Linked DNA regions of Arabidopsis thaliana. The protein of the gene in region 1 interacts with the protein of each later gene in a biochemical or structural test. Each region holds a gene or a part of one and is shown in the gene's direction. Other genes may lie near its edges. The genes, in order: FD, CPK4, CPK6 and CPK33.

What was found.
Region 2: of the proteins of FD (region 1) and CPK4, one has a biochemical effect on the other in vitro, tested with the Arabidopsis thaliana proteins (one study listed by BioGRID).
Region 3: the proteins of FD (region 1) and CPK6 form a complex in vitro, tested with the Arabidopsis thaliana proteins (one study listed by BioGRID).
Region 4: the proteins of FD (region 1) and CPK33 form a complex in vitro, tested with the Arabidopsis thaliana proteins (one study listed by BioGRID).

Annotation. Positions count from the first base shown.
Region 1 is NC_003075.7:17,002,130-17,006,940, forward strand, and holds FD (Basic-leucine zipper (bZIP) transcription factor family protein), read left to right. Parts: upstream 1-2,392; 5' UTR 2,393-2,616; coding exon 2,617-3,324; coding exon of another isoform or gene 3,325-3,351; exon of another isoform or gene 3,352-3,459; coding exon 3,460-3,537; intron 3,538-3,751; coding exon 3,752-3,823; 3' UTR 3,824-4,179; downstream 4,180-4,811. UniProt on the Arabidopsis thaliana protein: Transcription factor required for the transition to flowering promoted by FT.
Region 2 is NC_003075.7:6,046,987-6,052,980, forward strand, and holds CPK4 (calcium-dependent protein kinase 4), read left to right. Parts: upstream 1-2,454; 5' UTR 2,455-2,573; coding exon 2,574-3,111; intron 3,112-3,653; coding exon 3,654-3,797; intron 3,798-3,886; coding exon 3,887-4,039; intron 4,040-4,140; coding exon 4,141-4,256; intron 4,257-4,468; coding exon 4,469-4,636; intron 4,637-4,723; coding exon 4,724-4,948; intron 4,949-5,036; coding exon 5,037-5,198; 3' UTR 5,199-5,394; downstream 5,395-5,994. Other genes in the region: AT4G09580 (SNARE associated Golgi protein family), read right to left, coding at 5,735-5,866, 5,941-5,994. UniProt on the Arabidopsis thaliana protein: May play a role in signal transduction pathways that involve calcium as a second messenger. Functions as a regulator of the calcium-mediated abscisic acid (ABA) signaling pathway. Phosphorylates ABA-responsive transcription factors ABF1 and ABF4 in vitro.
Region 3 is NC_003071.7:7,514,275-7,520,325, forward strand, and holds CPK6 (Calcium-dependent protein kinase family protein), read left to right. Parts: upstream 1-2,055; 5' UTR 2,056-2,382; exon of another isoform or gene 2,383-2,581; intron 2,582-2,669; 5' UTR 2,670-2,730; coding exon 2,731-3,448; intron 3,449-3,604; coding exon 3,605-3,748; intron 3,749-3,840; coding exon 3,841-3,993; intron 3,994-4,085; coding exon 4,086-4,201; intron 4,202-4,293; coding exon 4,294-4,461; intron 4,462-4,547; coding exon 4,548-4,772; intron 4,773-4,854; coding exon 4,855-4,965; 3' UTR 4,966-5,388; downstream 5,389-6,051. Other genes in the region: AT2G17280 (Phosphoglycerate mutase family protein), read left to right, coding at 1-54, 146-265, 360-404, 492-570. UniProt on the Arabidopsis thaliana protein: May play a role in signal transduction pathways that involve calcium as a second messenger. Functions in abscisic acid (ABA) regulation of guard cell S-type anion- and Ca(2+)-permeable channels and stomatal closure. Phosphorylates FD.
Region 4 is NC_003070.9:18,780,153-18,785,450, forward strand, and holds CPK33 (calcium-dependent protein kinase 33), read left to right. Parts: upstream 1-1,706; 5' UTR 1,707-2,061; coding exon 2,062-2,743; intron 2,744-2,816; coding exon 2,817-2,960; intron 2,961-3,061; coding exon 3,062-3,214; intron 3,215-3,307; coding exon 3,308-3,423; intron 3,424-3,504; coding exon 3,505-3,878; intron 3,879-3,973; coding exon 3,974-4,073; intron 4,074-4,158; coding exon 4,159-4,233; downstream 4,234-5,298. Other genes in the region: AT1G50690 (Cystatin/monellin superfamily protein), read left to right, coding at 1-255, 351-360; AUG4 (HAUS augmin-like complex subunit), read right to left, coding at 4,567-4,629, 4,733-4,810, 4,920-4,971, 5,067-5,135, 5,219-5,277. UniProt on the Arabidopsis thaliana protein: Ca(2+)-dependent protein kinase. Negative regulator of stomatal closure and slow anion currents. Unable to phosphorylate THI1 in vitro, but the kinase activity is essential for the stomatal closure regulation. Phosphorylates FD.

The DNA of each region.
Region 1 (4,811 bases):
GCTTCCGTACGGTCTAGAGACAACCTACGGACAGATGATGATTGTACATACCAGTAGACTTACAGAATCCAACGGTTATTGAACTCACGGGTCATTCATATTGTTCGTTGGATTATAAATTTGAATGTAAACGAACATGAATAATTAAAAACAAGTTGAGATTTGTCTCTTCATCAAATCAAATCACTTGTCCACCGAGTTCGAGTCTTTTTTCAAGCCAACGAGTCTATCTTAAACCCTTTTACGTCTCTAAATATATAGAGATGTAATTAGTATTTTATTTCTTCACCACCAAACAATGTTTTATAATTGTAGGAAATCGAGATATATAAAACAATGAATTATTTTGCACTTACTACTTTTGGTAGGCATATTTCATGTTGTATGATAGTCCGGAAAATTTTATATAACTTGCTAAAACAGAATTTGTTTCCATTTATATGCATTGTTTAAAAGTAAACTAAAGAGGATATTAAAAGACAGAGAAATAGATTTGATGGAGTTTGGGACAGAGCAATATAGTGCTGACACCTGTCCAATCCCCTGAGACGTGACATGTCACACTCCTTTCTTATACAACTTACAAGTTCTCTGCACAATTTTATGATACAATGGACATTTGAATTCACTCGTTACAGACTATACCCCAACTTTATTTTGAGTTTATTTTGCAAAAATGATTTGAGACTGGGAAAATTTGTTTTATTTTCGTCAATGAATATGCGTAGTGACGTCGATACTAACAAAAGTACTACTCTTTACATTCGAATTTTTGGTGGTTGCGAAACGACAACAAAGATCTATGAAATTTGTGTTTCACATTAAAAACTCAAAATGTATTTTGAAACCCAATGTTTGGAAACATGTAAACAAATTAAAGTCTTTGTACTTTTCACCAACAAATGGAAAATATATATCTTCTAACAAATATGAGTATTTGAGGAGCTTGCATTTTCGATAAACAGCTCCTAATGTAGTACTCTTTGCATGTTCAAAAGATGGGACGTTTCCTTGAGGGCTGATTTCAACATTCAGAGAAAAAAAATTATATACATGTACGGAAATGAATAGTTAATCTTGTTGAATAGAATAAGAGAAGAGGAAAGAAAAACAAATATCGTATGTTATTATAGTTTATATATAATCAACTTGCAATAAAGGAAAAATTTGAAAAGCGTGACTAGATATGCACTTGGAGACTGACTTACATAGTAGATACGATAATCGAATATCTAGATATCTGGATGGTACTCATATTATTTGTTTATTACGTATGATCAAAGATTTATTAATATGTATCATCTTCTACTTGGCTTAATTATTAACTAGTTTAGTATTCGTCTCTAATCTTCAAAACAATCAACATAAATATCTAAACTATATTGGTCATATAAAATCTAATACTTTACTATCCACTTGTAATGTTTGTTTTGTTCAGAGTTGGAGACCCACATAAATTGATTTCCCTATCCGTATTGTAAAACAGACTATTGACACTTTGATCAAATCTCGTTGGATGACATGAACACCAATGATTTGAAGTGGGGAACAATTCAATAGTTAACAATATTTTTGTTATTTAAATGCATTTCAACTATACGGTCGATATTATTTGAAATGTTTGCAACTACATATTTAAGAAAACGTTAAGTGCAAATGACCCGTTCTTAAACACTCCGAATCTCATATAAAATAAAGTTTTTTTGTACTAATCAAACATATAATTTTCAGACTTTTAGTTTTGATAGAAACAAATTACATATACGAACACCCAAGTACTACTTTTTATATTCGATAATATTATTCTATCTTCGTTTAAAATATATTAACCACATCAAGAAAAGAGGAATGAAATATTCTAACGGAATTAATGTTTGCTGCCAAAAACAAAAAAAAAACAGAAGAAATTTTTACATTTGAGTTTATTGGTATAGTAGTTAGGATTTTGTGTTTTATTATATATTTAAACGAATTTATTTAATTATTTCTAATACAGAAAGATGTATATATTCTTATCTACTTTCATTTTGTTTTTAATGTTTTATTTCGTCAATACCCTTAGGGGAAAAAAGTGTATTTTGGCAAATTTTCCTTAAATCTAAGAGCAAGAACAAAAATTAAAGTCACACATGAAAGTTGAAAGTGATCCAAAGGGATTTGATATTAGAAAATAGAAAGTGAGATAAAACCAAAAATAATTTTATATATTTGCCTGGCTTTTTACAAGCATCTCACCCCCACTCACTCTTTACATTTAAGGATGATGAAAAATACTTCACTTTTGAAATAATCAAACACCATTTTTAATCTTTATAATAACTCTGACGTTGAAGACATCAACAAACACCTTTAATTACATATAATAGTTTATGGAATTTCTCTTCTTCTTCTTGAAATATATTATTTAATTGGAAATAGTTCAATCCCTCTGTCTCTTCTTCTGGAGTCTTGGACCCAACCCCATCATTCCAGAAATGACCGGCTAAAGTCAAGAACCTCTCTCTGAGCTCTCACCACTTTCTCTCTCTACTCCCTCTCTGCGTGTAGGATACTACTAGACAATTGACAACCAAAGACTAAAGCTGTGTTGTTGGTTCACTTCTGTTCTCTTTTCCAATGTTGTCATCAGCTAAGCATCAGAGAAACCATAGACTCTCTGCTACAAACAAGAACCAGACTCTCACCAAAGTTTCTTCCATTTCATCCTCATCACCATCGTCTTCTTCTTCATCATCATCAACCTCATCATCATCTCCTTTACCTTCTCAAGACTCTCAAGCCCAGAAGAGATCTCTTGTCACCATGGAAGAAGTTTGGAATGACATCAACCTTGCTTCCATCCACCACCTAAACCGACACAGCCCTCATCCACAACACAACCACGAGCCAAGGTTCAGGGGCCAAAACCACCACAACCAAAACCCTAACTCAATCTTCCAAGATTTTCTCAAAGGATCTTTGAACCAGGAACCAGCACCCACAAGCCAGACCACGGGTTCTGCGCCTAATGGCGATTCCACCACGGTCACTGTTCTTTACAGCTCTCCTTTTCCACCTCCTGCAACTGTTCTGAGCTTGAATTCCGGCGCTGGCTTCGAGTTTCTCGATAACCAAGATCCTCTTGTTACCTCAAACTCTAATCTTCATACCCACCATCACCTCTCAAACGCTCATGCCTTCAACACCTCTTTCGAGGCTCTGGTTCCATCCAGTTCTTTTGGTAAGAAAAGAGGCCAAGATTCCAATGAAGGTTCAGGGAATAGAAGACATAAGCGTATGATCAAGAACAGAGAATCTGCAGCTCGTTCCCGCGCTAGGAAACAGGAATGTGCCTCTCCTCTTCCCTCCTAATCTTCTTCTACTCATGTGTATCAAAAAGGGAAGAAAAGAAATGTGGTTTTGCCATCAAATTGCTTTTGATCTAAAAAAAGGTCTCTTGGTTTTGATTCTCATTTGCAGGCTTATACAAACGAGTTAGAACTTGAAGTTGCTCACTTGCAGGCAGAAAATGCAAGACTCAAGAGACAACAAGATCAGGTAAACAAGCAGAGCCAAGTTCTTAATGTTTTACCCTTTTGTAGCACTCATGTCATTAGATCAATTCCTTGTAGTTTAACCAACTTATAAAAAGAGACAGACAGACAGCCTCTGGAGTATATTTGTTTTACACACTTTTTTGTCCAATGACATTTTGGGTGGTTAGATTCTGATACTTCAGTTGTGTGTTTATTATGTGTGTGTGTGTGTGCAGTTAAAAATGGCTGCAGCAATTCAGCAACCCAAAAAGAACACACTTCAACGGTCTTCCACAGCTCCATTTTGAGAAATCTACAAGTCCTTGTTTCTCTTTTGGGGATTGAGATTGTCTCATGAAGAAGTGAAAAAATGGCAAAAGTTTGTACCCTTTTTTATTAGCTATAAGTATAACTAAGCCTAAAATTGTAGAACTAAGATATTGTAGGGGAAAAAAGAAGATGTAAAACAAAAGACCCGGAAAGAGAAAAGGATCTTTCAATTTCCTAAGGCACAGGAACACCTGTCCTGGGTCCTCTCTTAATGTTCTGTCGTTTTCCTATGCAAACCCTTTTTTCACTTCTGTACTAACTTCTACTTGTATTCTTGTTGTAGTAATGTTCTACTTCCTCTTCTAATACTAGTAAGAAAAAAAACCTTATGTTTTACTGTTTAACCAATTTGGTTCTTAAAAGAAGCAAAGGATCAAATGACCAATAGACAAAACAGTGCTCCACTTAAATGATGACAATACCAGAGAAAAGTGAGAAGGGGACCTATCACTGAACATTTAATTTTCTCCCTATCACATTATCACATAAATATCCAATCCTTTGGCTGTCTACCATACAAGCCAACAACTTGCAATATGATTTTGAAACCTCCAAGCCAATGGGAATTAAGTTCACCACTTTTCGGGTTGGTCAAGAGAGAACATGATAAGTTTCTTATTCAGCATGGTCACTCCCCACGTTTTATTTATATTCATAGTACATAGTATTGTAGCTTTTGCTCTAACTGGTCACCATCAAAAACACTAGGTGTGTTTGTATTCATTTGGTTTATCAAGAGAATAGTTTTTATCTTCTTTTGGCCCAATTTCATTTACCTGACAGTGATAAGTCTTGTTGATCCACTTTTGGTTGTTGATATATTGCTGTGTATTCTTTTAAGCAACCAAAAGTGGACATCAAGAGCTAATATGGTGTAAATATAGTGGACATTAAGATAAAGAAGAATAGTTACCAAAAGTGGGACTATGACTAGAATCTATCCTCACATTATATGGTTACACTTAG
Region 2 (5,994 bases), about 11 Mb from region 1:
AGAACATTCATTATATGTTCTATCTTTCTATATTTATATTTTTCTACAGATTGACTTAGACGGCGAACCGGGACATAAGTTCCATCAAGTGCTCCAACACAATCTCTAAAAACAGGCCAATATCAATCATCATTCTTCTAAACAGGGTTTACTCTCGTAAATTCACCTTCTTGTGGCTTTAGTGTATCCACTACAAACTTTAAAAGAGCACTCAAAACATCATCAATCTTTTTTTTTTTTACCGTATTCAATGACCGTTGATATCTTGTAACTATATCTCAAACAGTTTTATCCTGACCAACCACCTCGAAAAGTATTAGTGATTTCTACCTATATAGTGAAGAAGACCGTAAGTATTAGTTCCAAACATTTAGACCCATTATATAGAAACAGACATAGAATTTGGAAATTTTGAATAAACCGATCAAGCTGAGAGTAACTAAGAGAACACAAATAAATAAGAAACTCAAAATATTTAAGAGATTTCAGTCAGTGAATAACGAAAGTACCTCGGAGTAGAGATTCAACGTTGTATTAGAAGTAACCAACGACGGGAGATCTAGTTGAGCTCAAGTCACCGGATAATATTTCGCAAGATTGCGGCGGCGGAGAGAGATTGGTTTCAAAGAGTTTGAGATCGATGAGTGTAAGAGAGAAATGATGAAAAAGAAGTAGAAGAAATAGAGTTAGGTTTGTTTGTAGTTTCTCAAACATAATAAGGGTATAATTGTCATTTATCATATATAATACAACTTTTAAGCGTTGACCGCAGCATTATGCCGCACTTACTTGCATCTGCCGCTGTTGCAGCAACCTAGATAATCAAACGAACATCTTATTAAAAAAAAACAGAAGCTGAAAGCCCAAGCTTATTTAAAGATGGGCCAATAGGGGCCTGCATAAAGTTCCAATTTTATTTAGAAAATATCTATTTAACATCATTTATGAATAAAGTGTCCTCCGATGCTATTTGGGTTTGGTTAAAGATGGATTTTGGAGGTTTTCCAAATGATGTCAGATTTTGAAGATGAACAATGAAATAAATATATCTAAAGCTTATACATCTAGGTCTCTTACCCAACGGCGATGAAATAAAGAATACATGTACTAAAACGACGCATGCAAAATAATACCTGAAATTTTCTTTCTACGTTGGAACTCATTGCAAAAGATGAGGAATATTGCATAGCCATGGATTGGATAGAGCCATAAAGAATCGGTACACATTGCTTTTCATATTTTAATATCGTTAAGGCGTAATGTAATAAGTATTAGAAATGGATTTTTAAAAGTATTTAGATAGTTCGGGTTTAAATTTTATTTTATTGCTGATTGGACTTTGTTTTACAATTATAGAGAAATAATTTTGTGTTAAATTATAGTATTATACGACATTCACACAATTACATTTACATTAACATGTACCACGTCTATTTTATAATATTGCTCCAAAACGAAAGAGTGGTCTTCACGACGAGCGAGGTTTAAAATTTGTAGTCGTGCATTGCAAAAAGCTGCGAAAACCGTGTGAACTCTCAACCAAACCAAATATGATATGAAGAAATTGGTTCTTGTCCATTCGGTGGTTAGTGTGCATGCATGTCGGTGAATTTTATATGTTTTCCATTTACGACCTTTTCTCTTTATATCATATAGATTTTTAGGGGAAAAAAAAATCATATAGATTTTTAAAAAATCATGTTCCCAATTAAGACATAATGTTTAGTAGCCAAATTGAGAACCAACCTTTTTTCTGTTTATTAAATAATTTAAGTGGATGGATTTTACACATATATTTTAATGTCTTACATAAATAAAATATCATGTTATTTTTTTTGATAATATCATGTTTTATTGATAAAATCCATACATACTTGATACTTGCAAAAAATATCATGCACAAATTTATCTCTATAAATGGTTATCTACCTTTTTTTTTTTTTTTTTTTTGAACACAATTTACCTAATAATCTTAATAAATATAAGAGAAATGTAACGCATACTTTTGTTGGACATTGTTTTTGGTCGAGTCTGATTGGTTTTTTGTTCAGATCTATCGGATTTATGTATTTAAGATCTAATAAACAAATTATAAAAAATTTGATTCGATTTGGTTATCGATTTTATTAATAATGTTAATATAATCCGACTTACTTTGGTTAGAAAAATTAATTCAAAAGTAACAACAAAAAAAAATTGGATAACAAAACCATCTAAAATCCTGCTAATTAATTCACATCTAATAACCGAATCCGAACCTAAATGACCAAACCATTTGTGTAAAAATCTCAAGCCTAGTCCCTATATTTCAATAGATTTTTTTCTTTTTTTTTTGGTCAAGATCAATAGATTTTTTTCATCAATTCAATTTATTGCAAATTTGCAATAATAGTTGGTAAATACTATAAATGTAAATGGTCACGGGATAACAAAAGAGCAATAATAATATAATAATTGCATAAGACGAGTCAACATGACCAAGAAACATTGAAGGGTTCGTAACTTCGTATCATCTTCCTCCTCCTCCTTTGATAAACACCAAAAAAAGGCAGAGACTTTCGAAATCAAGAACAATGGAGAAACCAAACCCTAGAAGACCCTCAAACAGTGTTCTTCCATACGAAACACCAAGATTAAGAGATCACTATCTCCTCGGCAAAAAGCTAGGCCAAGGCCAATTTGGAACAACCTATCTCTGTACAGAGAAATCATCATCAGCTAATTACGCTTGCAAATCAATCCCAAAACGTAAGCTTGTATGTCGTGAAGACTACGAAGATGTATGGCGTGAGATTCAGATCATGCATCATCTCTCTGAGCATCCTAATGTTGTTAGAATCAAGGGTACTTATGAAGACTCTGTTTTTGTTCACATTGTTATGGAAGTTTGTGAAGGTGGTGAGCTTTTTGATCGGATTGTTTCTAAAGGGTGTTTTAGTGAACGTGAAGCTGCTAAGTTGATTAAGACTATTCTTGGTGTTGTTGAGGCTTGTCATTCTCTTGGTGTTATGCATAGAGATCTTAAGCCTGAGAATTTCTTGTTTGATAGTCCCAGTGATGATGCTAAGCTTAAAGCTACAGACTTTGGTTTGTCTGTCTTCTACAAGCCAGGTTCGTTGTTGATTCTTCTCTTTTGATTGGAATCTTATGGTTTTTGTCTTTGTTGGTTGGTTCAAGGAAATGTTTTGATTTGGTTTCTTGATTCGGATTTGCTGCTTGAGCATTGTTAGGGAAAGATTGAATTTTGTTATATCTGGTTTTGACATTTAGTTGATATATATGGATGTGTTGATTGTGCAAGGTTTTGTTATATATGTAACATATGCTTATGGTTATGAAGCGATCTTATCAGATTTTATTCGATTCATTGTCTAGATTATGTTGAGAAATGTCTTGTTTGGTGTTGAAAATCGGTTTCATGATATGTTATCTGTAGAATCATTTGTTGAATGGTCATTTCCAATTTGCTGCTTGAGCATTGTTAGAGAACCAATAATTTTCTGTGGCTAGATCTTTCTGAATCTTTTCTTGCAAGATTTACATAGTTTTGTTGTGTTACTTATGCTTATGTAATGATGCTATCAGAGCTACATTGTGTCCGACTAATTTCAGTGCTTAACAAAATTTTCAATTGTGTGGGTTTGCATCTTCAGGGCAGTATCTGTATGATGTAGTTGGAAGTCCGTATTATGTTGCACCTGAGGTTCTGAAGAAATGTTATGGACCAGAGATAGACGTGTGGAGCGCCGGTGTTATCTTGTACATCTTACTAAGTGGGGTTCCTCCTTTTTGGGCAGGTAAGTTTGTGAAAGCTAGTACCGTTGTTACTACTGAATCAAGTATATTGCTTATGTGATTTAAGCATCCATGAGTAATTTGTTTGCAGAAACCGAGTCAGGAATCTTTAGGCAGATATTGCAAGGGAAGATAGATTTTAAATCTGATCCGTGGCCTACTATCTCAGAAGGTGCTAAAGATTTGATTTACAAAATGCTCGATAGGAGCCCCAAGAAACGTATTTCTGCACATGAAGCATTGTGTAAGTTGTTACTTATGATTGTTTTCCTCTCTGCTACATGTATTTTGTTGTTCATTTCTGTAAGATATAAGAATTGAGTTTTCCTCTGATGATATTATTAGGTCACCCTTGGATTGTTGATGAACATGCTGCACCAGACAAGCCTCTCGACCCAGCAGTCTTGTCGCGACTTAAGCAGTTCTCGCAAATGAATAAAATCAAGAAAATGGCCTTACGAGTAAGAAAGTTGTAGCCCTTTAGTCTCCACTCTCATTGCTTATTTTCAAGAACTGATTTCCCTGTTAGGAAGATCGACTAAGATAACACATTTTAAGAACTATTTTCAGGAAATGAATAAACTTAAGTAAATGGCCTTATAAGTTGGAAAGCTATAGTTCTTTAAACTCTCAATGCCATTGCTTATATTCAAGAACTGATTTCCCGGTTTAGGTAATCGCGGAGAGACTCTCGGAGGAAGAGATTGGTGGTCTGAAGGAATTGTTCAAAATGATAGATACAGACAACAGTGGAACAATCACCTTTGAAGAGCTTAAAGCAGGTCTAAAGAGAGTTGGATCTGAATTGATGGAATCAGAAATCAAGTCTCTTATGGATGCGGTAATTATACCAAAACAAAAACTCTCTTTTAGAATATTGATTTCTCCGTTCTTCTAGGAATCACAAAGCTTAAATGGTGTTTTGCAGGCGGATATAGACAACAGTGGGACAATAGACTACGGTGAATTCCTAGCAGCGACATTACATATAAACAAGATGGAGAGAGAAGAGAACTTGGTGGTTGCGTTTTCATACTTTGATAAAGATGGTAGCGGTTATATCACCATTGACGAGCTTCAACAAGCCTGCACAGAGTTTGGTCTCTGTGACACTCCTCTTGATGACATGATCAAAGAGATTGATCTTGATAATGTAAGAAGCCTTCATGATCTGTTTCCTTTGTCTTGTTTCTTAGTGAGTTTGGTTTAAAACTGATGATGAAAATATGTGGTTTTGTTAGGACGGGAAGATTGATTTCTCAGAGTTTACTGCTATGATGAAGAAAGGAGATGGTGTTGGGAGGAGCAGAACTATGAGGAACAACTTGAACTTCAATATAGCTGAAGCTTTTGGAGTTGAGGACACAAGCAGCACTGCTAAATCTGATGATTCACCAAAGTAATTATAATCATCTATATACTTGGAATTGAGAAATGAGAACTCACAAAAGAAAAACTGAATCTTTCCTTTTTGTTTTCGTTTCCACTTTTGTAGATGAGCAACTTTCTCAATTTTGTTATAAGCATGGATAATTTTGCTTCATATTTTCTGCGTATAGAACCATTATATGATCAGAATCACCCATATTTGGTCAAAGCAATGTCTTCAAGCATTTACATAATCATGTTTGTTATACATAAGCCAATAGGCTGCAGAGTCAGATCTCTGAATCAAGTATTCAATATACAAAGCCAATCATGATTCAGTAAACTAGCTACACAAACACTTACTACTACAAGGGGGTAAGAGAAGCTCTCAAATCGAAGACAATAAACAAATCAAAGCCAGAGTTAGCGATTTTAAGCTCCGCGATGTTGCAGAAACAATCTTCTTCTTTTATCTTGAGCTCATAAACACCTTTGAAATGCTGCCATGCGACTGAAAGGTGCTGCTCATCAATATCTATATAAATGATTATACTCTTCAGTCTTCGACTCTTCATTCATATACTCTCTTTCTCTTTAGAAGGGCAGGGAATATGGAGATGGATCCAATGAGGAACAGCACTGACAAGGTCTTGAAATCATACAAATCCTTTACTGATCTGAGATCTCCAAGAGCCAAACCAGCCTGTGTAAATGAAAGTAAATGTTAGCCTCTTAAACACGAAAGAACAGCGGAATGAGATTGAACAATAGACTCACTCTAACTGTGATGTACGAAGCTGGCATAAGACCGACTAGAGTCGCCAAAAAGAA
Region 3 (6,051 bases), on another chromosome or scaffold:
TCCAAGAGAGAGCCTTGAAGAAGTTGCAGCCAGAGGTGTAGAGTTCATCAAATGGTGAGTTTCATTTTTGTTACTTATTTCCACATGGAGATATATGTAAACATATGTATAGCTGAATCTCTCTACTGCCATTTGCTTTGTGAAGGATATGGACAAGGAAAGAGAAGGAGATCGCAATTGTATCTCACAGTGGCTTCTTGCACGGTCTCTTGAGTTCTTTCGGGAAGGATTGTTGCGATGACCTAAAGAAAGAGTTGTCTATACAGTAAGAGCTTAAACAAAAACTTGATGTCTACAAGCACCAACAATTTGTATAACTTGAAACTGTTTAACTAATCAACATCTTTAACTTTGTTCAGTTTGAGCAACTGTGAGCTTCGCTCAATGGTTATCGTGGATCGAGGGTAAGCAATAATTACAATAAGTTTTGACAGAATATAAATATAATTTGAGAGTGTGTTGGATTATTTATTATGGTGTTGGGTGTGTAGGAACCTGGGGACTGACTCTGCAGAGACCACAAACTATCCTGGGAAGGTTCCTGAAGGACTTGATAATCCTAGTGGCTAAATGGCTGAAGAGTAAGAGAGAGAATTCTGAGATAGTTTTTCTTTCTAAAATAAATAAATTACATGATGTTTCCATTGGACTAGAATCTGGCATTTTCAGTTATTTGATGAACATTAGTGTTGGTATGTAGCCATGTAGGTTGACTCTGCTGCTACATGAATTTATTGTATGATTGTTATTATCCAAAATTTAGCGGTAGCTTTAATATTTCTGCTCCAATTCTCATTTTAGCTGTGATTATACAATTGTGGAAATAATAGCATTACAAGTAGAGGAACTGGTAGATGCAACTAAATTATAAGTGTGAATCTTAGATGAGTAGATTTATCTCTATCAACATGAGAACCAGCAGAAACTTAAAACATTATTTATGTAAGATCAACTTCATATTTTATGGCAGCTGTGTTGAATTTTCTTATGGCCAAGCATTTTAATAAAACAAAGAGAAAATTCCAAAAATTACACTCAGCTTTTCTTATAGTACTAGGTTTTATCTTTTGGTGTTGAGATTTTTTATGAAAATAGAAAATGTTTTAAGTGTTTTTATAGAAGTAGATCAAAGTTTAATGCTCTTCGTACGTTCTATGTATTTGGACTTTAATATAATCGATAATCGTATTCAGATTCTTTATAGAAATTACGCTCTCTCCAAACTATTGGAGAAAGCTTTTACCATTAGGAATTCGAAATTTTTTGTTCCCCAATTTTGAACATATGATAAGATCTTTTAAAGAACACTCGACAATGTAAAATTTAAAGTAGGTCTAGCTTCTTATCCGTTTAAGAGAACGATTTTTTTTTTTAAATGATATGATTCACGGTTTGTAAAGTTATCTATTGGAAAATAAAAAAACTGTAAGTACAATACTGTGATGTCAAAAAGAAAAAAAAAGTACACCCAAACTAAATTTGTACCACGTGCGAGACAAATTGTAGTCTGCGATCTTACTCACTACCCGACAATGACATGCCCCATGCCTTAGTTCTTGTAAGAAAAAAGTGATATCCTATATACTTCACTAATTATTGGTAAAATTATGCAAAACTTTCAGTGCTAAAAGTTTGATTTATACTGTACTAGTTGTTATTTCAACGTAGACATACCAAAATGTTTATTCAAGAAAGCCTATATACTAGCAAAAGTAAAAAAGAATGTGACATCTTTGATGAACCAATGTGAAAAGTCAACATAATAAAACTTGAGTTTTCAGAACAAATTTAGTTGTCCATTGTTTCGATCTGTTAATCAAGACCATAAATTAACTCTTAACTATATGCATCTAATAATAATATTTTGTAGTTAGCTAAGTTAAGCACATCCAACTCTTAAAAAAAGCTAGTATAACGTTAGGCTTATAATCATTCTCTTAATAATAAGTTATCCTAAACAAATTATTGCAATTTTTTATTCTCCCTACTTGCACTAAGTATCATTACACCAGTAAAAGATGATGATCCCTTAAATTAATACTAATTAAACAAGCAATTAAGGAATGAAGAAGGTGAGACGAAACCGCGTAAAAGACCTTTCTTCTTTGCACCATCCTCTCTCCTTCATCATTTCACAAATCCACAAAAGAATCAATCTTTTTAACACTCTCTAATGATTCAACGAATCCAATTACCCAACCAGAAACAGCAACACATATAGAGATATATACTATTAAACAATAACATAACAAAGAAACCATTTTTTCTCTTTTGTTATTGACTTAAACAAAAACTATCAACGAATAATTATCCTTTTTTGAGTTTTTCCCATTTCTTCTTCGTCTCCATTTCATCGTCTTCTCGCTGTTCTGCTATATTCCGGTACTAGATCCTCTGTTTTCTCATGTTTCTTTTATTACCAAATGATTTCTTCATTTATTGTTGTGTCTTTGATTCTTTTTTGGGATCTATAATGATCGATGAACATTTAAAGCTACGACTTTTCAGGAGCTCTTGTCTTTTTTTCTTTAATCTTTGATTATGTTACAAAACAATTATGTTTTTTGAAGCTTGATCTGATGTGGGTTCTTTGATTTCGTTCCAAAGTTTGATACTTTTTTGGCTTCTCTTTATCTGATTTTTTTTGTGTATGTTTGTTCATGAAACAGTTTCGTTGGATGAGGAGAAGAAGAAAGTGAAAAAAGTTGTGAAATAGAGAGAGTTTGTTTCATGGGCAATTCATGTCGTGGTTCTTTTAAGGACAAAATCTACGAGGGCAATCATAGTAGGCCCGAGGAGAATTCCAAATCCACCACCACTACTGTTTCCTCTGTTCATTCTCCTACTACAGACCAAGATTTCTCCAAACAGAACACCAATCCAGCTCTTGTGATTCCTGTTAAAGAACCCATTATGCGGCGTAACGTTGACAATCAATCTTACTATGTTCTTGGTCACAAGACTCCTAACATTCGTGATCTTTACACGTTGAGTCGTAAGTTAGGACAAGGACAATTCGGGACAACGTATTTGTGTACTGATATTGCCACAGGTGTTGACTATGCTTGTAAGTCTATATCCAAGAGGAAATTGATATCTAAAGAAGATGTTGAGGATGTTAGGAGGGAGATTCAGATTATGCATCATTTAGCTGGTCACAAGAATATTGTTACTATTAAAGGAGCTTATGAGGATCCTTTGTATGTTCACATTGTGATGGAGCTTTGTGCTGGTGGTGAGTTGTTTGATAGGATTATTCATAGAGGTCATTACAGCGAGAGGAAAGCTGCTGAGTTGACCAAGATCATTGTCGGTGTTGTTGAGGCGTGTCATTCTCTTGGTGTTATGCATAGAGATTTAAAGCCTGAGAATTTCTTGTTGGTTAATAAGGATGATGATTTCTCTCTTAAGGCCATTGATTTTGGTCTCTCTGTTTTCTTCAAACCAGGTAAGCGTTAGTTGCGAGTTTCTCATTGTTCTGAATCTATTTAAGTACCATGATGTGTTTTGTAGTATACATTACTGTGACTTTCTATTCATCAAATGAGTAAGGGAATGTAAATGTTTCAGCTTTGCATAATGTGTAGTCTTACTCTAATATCAGGCCAAATATTCAAGGATGTTGTTGGAAGTCCATACTATGTTGCTCCTGAGGTTCTTCTAAAACATTATGGTCCAGAAGCTGATGTGTGGACTGCTGGTGTTATACTCTATATCTTACTAAGTGGTGTCCCGCCTTTCTGGGCAGGTATGCGGGCGATATAGCTGTTTCAATGCGTTCTCTTAATTAGTGCCATTGACAAGGTTTCCTGAAGTTTGGTTTTGTGTTTTTGAAATCAGAAACACAGCAAGGAATATTTGATGCTGTGTTGAAGGGATATATTGACTTTGATACAGACCCGTGGCCTGTCATATCCGACAGTGCTAAAGATCTGATCCGGAAGATGTTATGCTCTAGTCCTTCTGAACGTTTGACTGCTCATGAAGTCTTGCGTACGTAATCAATTACACTTAAATAAATGGTTACATTTGGCAGCCACACAACATTAGACTATATCTCTTGTATGTATCTCTTTTTTTTTCAGGTCATCCATGGATCTGTGAGAATGGAGTTGCACCGGATAGAGCACTTGACCCGGCTGTTTTGTCTCGTCTAAAACAGTTTTCTGCAATGAATAAATTAAAGAAGATGGCTTTAAAGGTCAGTTTGTAGTTATACTCAATCTTCTATTGTCTCTGCATCACATTCGTTTGAGATATGTTTACTCATATTAGTGATTATGGAATGATCAGGTGATAGCTGAGAGCCTCTCAGAAGAAGAGATTGCGGGTTTAAGAGCAATGTTTGAGGCAATGGATACTGATAACAGCGGTGCAATCACTTTTGATGAACTCAAAGCTGGCTTGAGAAGATATGGATCAACCTTGAAAGACACCGAGATCCGAGATCTTATGGAAGCGGTAACAATGCATCCTTTTGAGATATGCACACTAGTTCATTTCGCTATATAGATGACAATAACCATACTCTCTGTGTTGTATCTTAGGCTGATGTGGACAACAGCGGTACAATAGATTACAGCGAGTTTATTGCAGCGACGATCCATCTGAATAAACTAGAGAGAGAAGAGCATCTTGTCTCTGCATTTCAGTACTTTGACAAAGATGGAAGTGGTTACATCACCATTGATGAGCTGCAACAATCTTGCATTGAACATGGGATGACCGATGTTTTTCTTGAAGACATAATCAAAGAAGTAGATCAAGACAACGTAAGCTTTGCCTCTTGACATGATTCTTCCACTCTTCACCATTGGTGTTTGCTAATAAAGTTTTGGTTTTTGTTTCTTACAGGATGGACGGATTGATTACGAAGAATTTGTTGCGATGATGCAAAAGGGAAATGCTGGTGTAGGGAGAAGAACAATGAAAAATAGTCTAAACATCAGCATGAGAGATGTGTAGGCACATACACACATCTTTAAATCGTCTATTCGGTGAGGATGCAAATGTTTCCATGGAATCAACATTTGCAATGTTTAATCACAGAGGAGGAAGAGAAACCAGATTCATAGCTGCAGCGAACCAGCTAAATCGTTGAAGGTTTGAGTTAAAAATGTTAAAAACTACTGTATGATTAAAAAATGGTGAAAGATAAAAAAAAAGTGTTAAGTTCTGTTCATCAGTAGCTGTGAGGACTATTTCTATTTTCTCTCTCTCTGTTTTGTTTGTTTGTAACAACTGTTTAAGTTTGGTTTTTATTTCATCTCCATCGTCGAAAGCTTTGACCCTTTTTGGGTTTTTGAAAGATCAAATCATCTTCCAATATAGTACAAATGTGATATACAAGTTGTGTGACAATCTTCCACCTTTTAGTTGTTGTTGCTGTTGTTAGTACACAAACGCATACTCTTCACTTTGGTTTGTTAAACTTTTTAGCTCGGCTTTGGTCGTCTTTTCTCACATGCATACTTCCAAATTGGAGTCATAGCGACAACATTAATACAACTAGTCAACTACTATGTTACAAGTTTCTGTCCACTAATTTCTTTCTCTAATTACATCTGAATCTGTAAGTACATAAACATGTATGTACATATGAACACATGAGTGTGTGTATATACACAAAAATTTATGTAATAAAAGAGCAATAATTGATGTAAAATGTGGAATACTGTATGATGATAGCTACTAAGTCTCAATCATGTAATCAAAGTGATGTCTTAGAACCAAACTTAAGGTTGTTCGAAACAATCAATCATACATTGGTCCCAATGTGGTGGATTGGAACATGACAGGGAAACCATGTGCTCCCACTTATTTATATATATGCATCGTATGTTCGTATGTATTAATGTATATACATTTCACACCACATGCAGTGAGTTATTTATGTCACCTTTTATTTAGTTTTCCGAAAAATGGTGAAATAGATTGGTCAAATTTCGTCTACAAAGTAAATTAAAAAAGATCATTAAATCAGTCGTTACGAGAAAATAAAGCACATCCTCATATATCAAAGATTAAAAATATAATAAAACTAAACAATAC
Region 4 (5,298 bases), on another chromosome or scaffold:
AACCGACGGAGATTTGGTTCATAGATTATCCAAGATTGCTCTTCAGAAATACAATGATGATAAGCTGGAAAATCTTGAACTTGTGAGAGCTGTCAAGGCTAATCGGAAATATGGAGCCGGATTCATTTTCTACATCACCTTCGAGGCCAAGGATGCTAATTCTCACACTGACCCCATTACTTTTCAAGCTGCCGTTCGCTACCTTCGAGGGATTGAAACGGTCTACCGTGTCCACCCTAAACCATTATTAGATTCGTAAGCTCTAAAATTTTCCCATCCTACTAAGTTTAAGTTGTTATTGATATGTGTTTTGGTAAAATCTTGTTTTTTTTTGTGTGTTTACTGTTTAGGACCAAGTAGTGGCAGATGTAACGGGATGTTCCTTTGTATAATGACATTCTACTCAACTTTCTATTTATCTGCAAACTTCTTTACCGTTTCTGGGATAAACTTATGCATCTTTTACTCTCGTACCATTAAGCTGTGTGTATCTTTAACTTCTATTGCGACAAGTTGTTTACTTTGTTTTGTAAAGATTTTTGGTAGCTTGTATCTTTTATTGGTTACACCTAGCGAGAATTGTCCTCCTGTTGGAGACACCATGGCAACACAGGTAAATCCTGTTGGACACAGCATGGTTCTACTGTCATTGCTAATTTGCTTCCTCATCTATTTTTTCTTCATTTTTGCTGTCTTCCTTGTATTGGTCTTCTTCTTCGTTGTCTCCCATGGTTTTACGGCTCTACTCTTTCCTGTTCTTCCCACCTTTGAAATTTTCCAGCAGTAACAACTTACACTGCGAATGAACTGGAAACCAACAGAGACTTGGTCCATCGATTGTCCACCTAAACCACGATTGTTAGATATGTAGGTAAGGTTTGAAAATTTGGTGGGAATCTTCCTGAGTAGTGTGGCCATAAACGTAGGAGCAAAGACATGAAAACGTTACTGTTGGTTATAGTATCATCACGTATTGATATGTGTTTAGGGAAGTTTTGATTATTCATTTTTCTGTTCATCGATAGTAGGTCCATCCTCCATGAGCCATGAAACTTTTGTTGATGATTATATACTATATTAGAAAAAAAGTGGCATATGGAGGGTAAACAAGAACTTGAACCTATCCTTCCTCGCTCTCTTTTGAATATTTTGTGGTATTTTATGTTAAGAAATTCACTAAGAACCCCCAATTTTTAGAATAATGCTGATTTTTAACGATTTCAACTAGTATGCACAAAAGAAAATCGATAAAAGTTCAAAGCAGAAATTTAAAAGGCACAAAAGAAGAATTACTATATCACGTTACAAAATTTAGACAGACTCTAAAAGCGACCTTCATCGACTCTTTTCAATCGGCCATAACATTGAGGGAGGCTCTATTTCAAATGAAGCGGCTGAGCTATCAGGGTGTCATATTTTGCGAGGACTCGAATATCTTATATGGTCACTTGGAGAGGGCAATAGAACAGCGCCAAAAATCATATGGACCGTTGGAAATTCAAGGATACATTAAAGATATAATGATCATGGCAAAGGTTTCTTATAGATTTATGCGCGTTAATGGGAAGGAGAACACAATGGCGTACATATTAGCTAAGAAGGCTAGACAACAAAACTGGAAAATCTGGCCAAAGAAAATTAAAAAAGTCACAAAAGAAATTGACTTGTCTTGTTAAAAAAATTGTCAATTTAATTTCACGAACAAACTAAACTCCACAGCTGCCCCAAAAAGCCGACCTTTAGAGATCCCTCCACTACTTTGTAACTTCTTCTTCCCCAACTTTTCATGATTCTTCTGCAATTCAACTTTCCAAACAATCATTTGTTCTAAATCTCTTAAACACAAATCTTTGCTTGATTAACCAAGTTCGTTGTCCTTAGTTGCTGAATTGTAGCCTATACGTCTTCTAGTATAAACCCACCCAAAAAAAAGATCAAACCTTTGCTTATTTCTCTGTTTTATATCCCTGATTCTCTGCAAATTTTCACGAAAGGTTCGATCTTTGGTCTCTGGGTCGTGATATTTTGAGCTTATTTAGCTAAAGCAAAGACGAACGGGCAATGGGGAATTGCTTAGCCAAGAAATACGGATTGGTGATGAAACCACAACAAAATGGTGAAAGATCAGTTGAGATCGAGAACAGAAGAAGGAGCACCCACCAAGATCCGTCTAAAATATCCACCGGAACGAATCAACCACCACCTTGGCGGAATCCAGCGAAACACAGTGGTGCTGCAGCTATACTCGAGAAGCCGTACGAAGACGTGAAACTGTTCTACACTTTGAGCAAAGAATTGGGTCGAGGCCAGTTTGGAGTAACGTATCTGTGCACAGAGAAGTCGACGGGGAAGAGATTCGCTTGCAAGTCGATTTCCAAGAAGAAACTTGTGACGAAAGGTGATAAAGAAGATATGAGGAGAGAGATTCAGATTATGCAGCATTTGAGTGGACAACCTAACATTGTTGAGTTTAAAGGAGCTTATGAAGATGAGAAAGCTGTGAATTTGGTTATGGAGCTTTGTGCTGGTGGTGAATTGTTCGATAGGATTTTAGCAAAGGGACATTACAGTGAGAGAGCAGCTGCTTCTGTTTGTAGACAGATTGTTAATGTTGTCAATATTTGTCATTTCATGGGTGTGATGCATAGAGACTTAAAGCCTGAGAATTTCTTGTTATCTAGCAAAGATGAGAAGGCTCTTATCAAAGCCACTGATTTCGGATTATCAGTCTTTATCGAAGAAGGTATATTACATCTTTTGTTGTATTGGTGATATGTCTTTTGGAATTGGTTCATTCATGATGGTTTATTTTGCAGGGAGAGTGTATAAAGATATAGTTGGGAGTGCATATTATGTTGCTCCTGAAGTTTTGAAGCGGAGATATGGTAAAGAAATCGATATATGGAGTGCTGGAATTATACTATACATTCTACTTAGTGGTGTGCCTCCGTTTTGGGCTGGTAAATGCGATGAAATTATCGGTTATTTCGATTCATATATATTTGAGAAGAATGTAGTTGCATGTGTGTATGAGTATGGATTGTTGGCTTTGGGAATGTAGAAACGGAGAAAGGGATATTTGATGCTATATTGGAAGGTGAAATCGACTTTGAATCCCAACCTTGGCCCTCAATTTCCAATAGTGCTAAAGATTTGGTACGTAGAATGTTGACACAAGATCCGAAAAGACGGATTTCTGCTGCTGAAGTTCTTAGTAAGTAAACGATCTTATTCTTTGTTGGTTATGGTAACTTCTTGTATACTTACTTGAATGTTGACAATATGGTTGATGTTTTACCTTTTGAAGAGCATCCATGGCTAAGAGAAGGTGGAGAAGCATCGGATAAGCCTATTGATAGTGCTGTTCTCTCAAGGATGAAGCAATTTAGAGCGATGAATAAACTAAAGAAACTTGCTTTAAAGGTTAGATCAAAGATTCTACACCTTGTTGCCAGATTTGACAGTCCTTTGTACCTTTCATCTTACAGATTGATTTTGACACAGGTCATTGCGGAGAACATTGACACGGAAGAAATACAAGGCTTAAAGGCGATGTTTGCTAATATAGATACAGACAATAGTGGTACTATCACATACGAAGAATTGAAAGAAGGATTAGCCAAACTGGGATCAAGACTCACTGAAGCTGAAGTGAAACAGCTCATGGATGCTGTAAGTTTTGATCAAGACAAGATCGTTCATTTACTTCTTGAATGTTTAAAAACTCCTATTCGGGTTTTTGTGATTCAGGCTGACGTTGATGGAAATGGGTCAATAGATTACATTGAGTTTATTACTGCAACAATGCATAGACATAGGCTTGAAAGTAATGAGAACGTTTACAAAGCCTTCCAACATTTTGACAAAGATGGGAGTGGGTAAGTGATCTTTCTTTTGGTATGAATCATTTTGCAATGTAAATAGATTTGTTAGCAATGATTGATGAGACTATTACTGAAAATGTGTTTAATAGATACATTACGACAGACGAGCTAGAGGCTGCTTTGAAGGAATATGGAATGGGAGATGATGCTACTATCAAAGAGATTTTGTCTGATGTCGACGCTGATAATGTAAAAGCCAAAAGATTAAAGCTCTTCGCCCTTGTAACGTTTTTCGTTTTCTTTCTCTGACCTCAAATTTTGTTTCTTGTTACAGGACGGTAGAATCAACTATGACGAGTTTTGTGCTATGATGAGAAGTGGGAATCCACAACAACCAAGATTGTTCTAACATATTTTATTTGTCTTCTGTCTGAATCTAATCAAAAAAGACAAGAGTGGTATTATTATTGTTGTTTAGGCAAAAATTTAAGGTTGAAAAGAGAGAGAGAGAGATGATTGCTTTCATTTATTTTGGTACTGCTAAACTGGTCATCTCATTTGGTTTGAAGGACCAATAAAAGTATATAACAGAGGAAGATAACACAATGTAAGTAGATTACAAGTAGTGGACCACATAGCTAGATGTATATTTAAATTATACTGATTTTTTCTCCCAGTTCAATCTTTCTTGGAGGATTAGATTTGCTAATACATATATCACAAGTGTTAACAAATCTAGTGATCAGTCATGAGACTTAAGGTCCATTTCTACTTGATGAATGGTCCACTGCATATTTTCCAGTTTCTGCAAAACCATGAAAGCTCTCATTATAATTCGTGTTGTTGTATTCCCACAAGTCAAATCAAATTTAGAAGGTGAAATGACTTAAGTAATGACTTGCTTGTACCTTAACAATGTCATGGTACTGTCTGGCAATTGTATCAAAATGCGGATCTACTCCTTGATATTCTCTAAGCCGAGTAACCTGTGTGTCATTTCGCAGGCTCGGTTAATTAATCGGGAGTAAAATGCCAATGAAGACTGAACAAAAGGGTTTAGTGCTAAGCAATGTAAGAGAGGATAAAGACACAAACCGCTTTGTTGTATGCAGCTGAAGCTTCCTCGGTAGCCTCGACTAGATAATTCCTAAAAAAATACAATAATGCTTGGAGGTGAGAGACGGGGTCATGGATTTATCAAATACATGGAAAGAAACATGTCTGGAAAATAGATTCCCGCACCTGATGTTGTGCAGAGCTGATATGGAGTCAGGGGTGTATGTCTCAAGGAGGAGAACATTTTCCAAAACCCTTCAAGCAGAGAAAGATAAGATATCTTAACTACTGCAATAGCCTGAAATTTAGATCCTAAACAGTAAAGGATGAGATTATACCTTAATTTTGCATTCATGGTCTCACACCTTTTACACAACCAAGTCTTCTGCATCTCATTCTGTGACAATATATAGAGTAA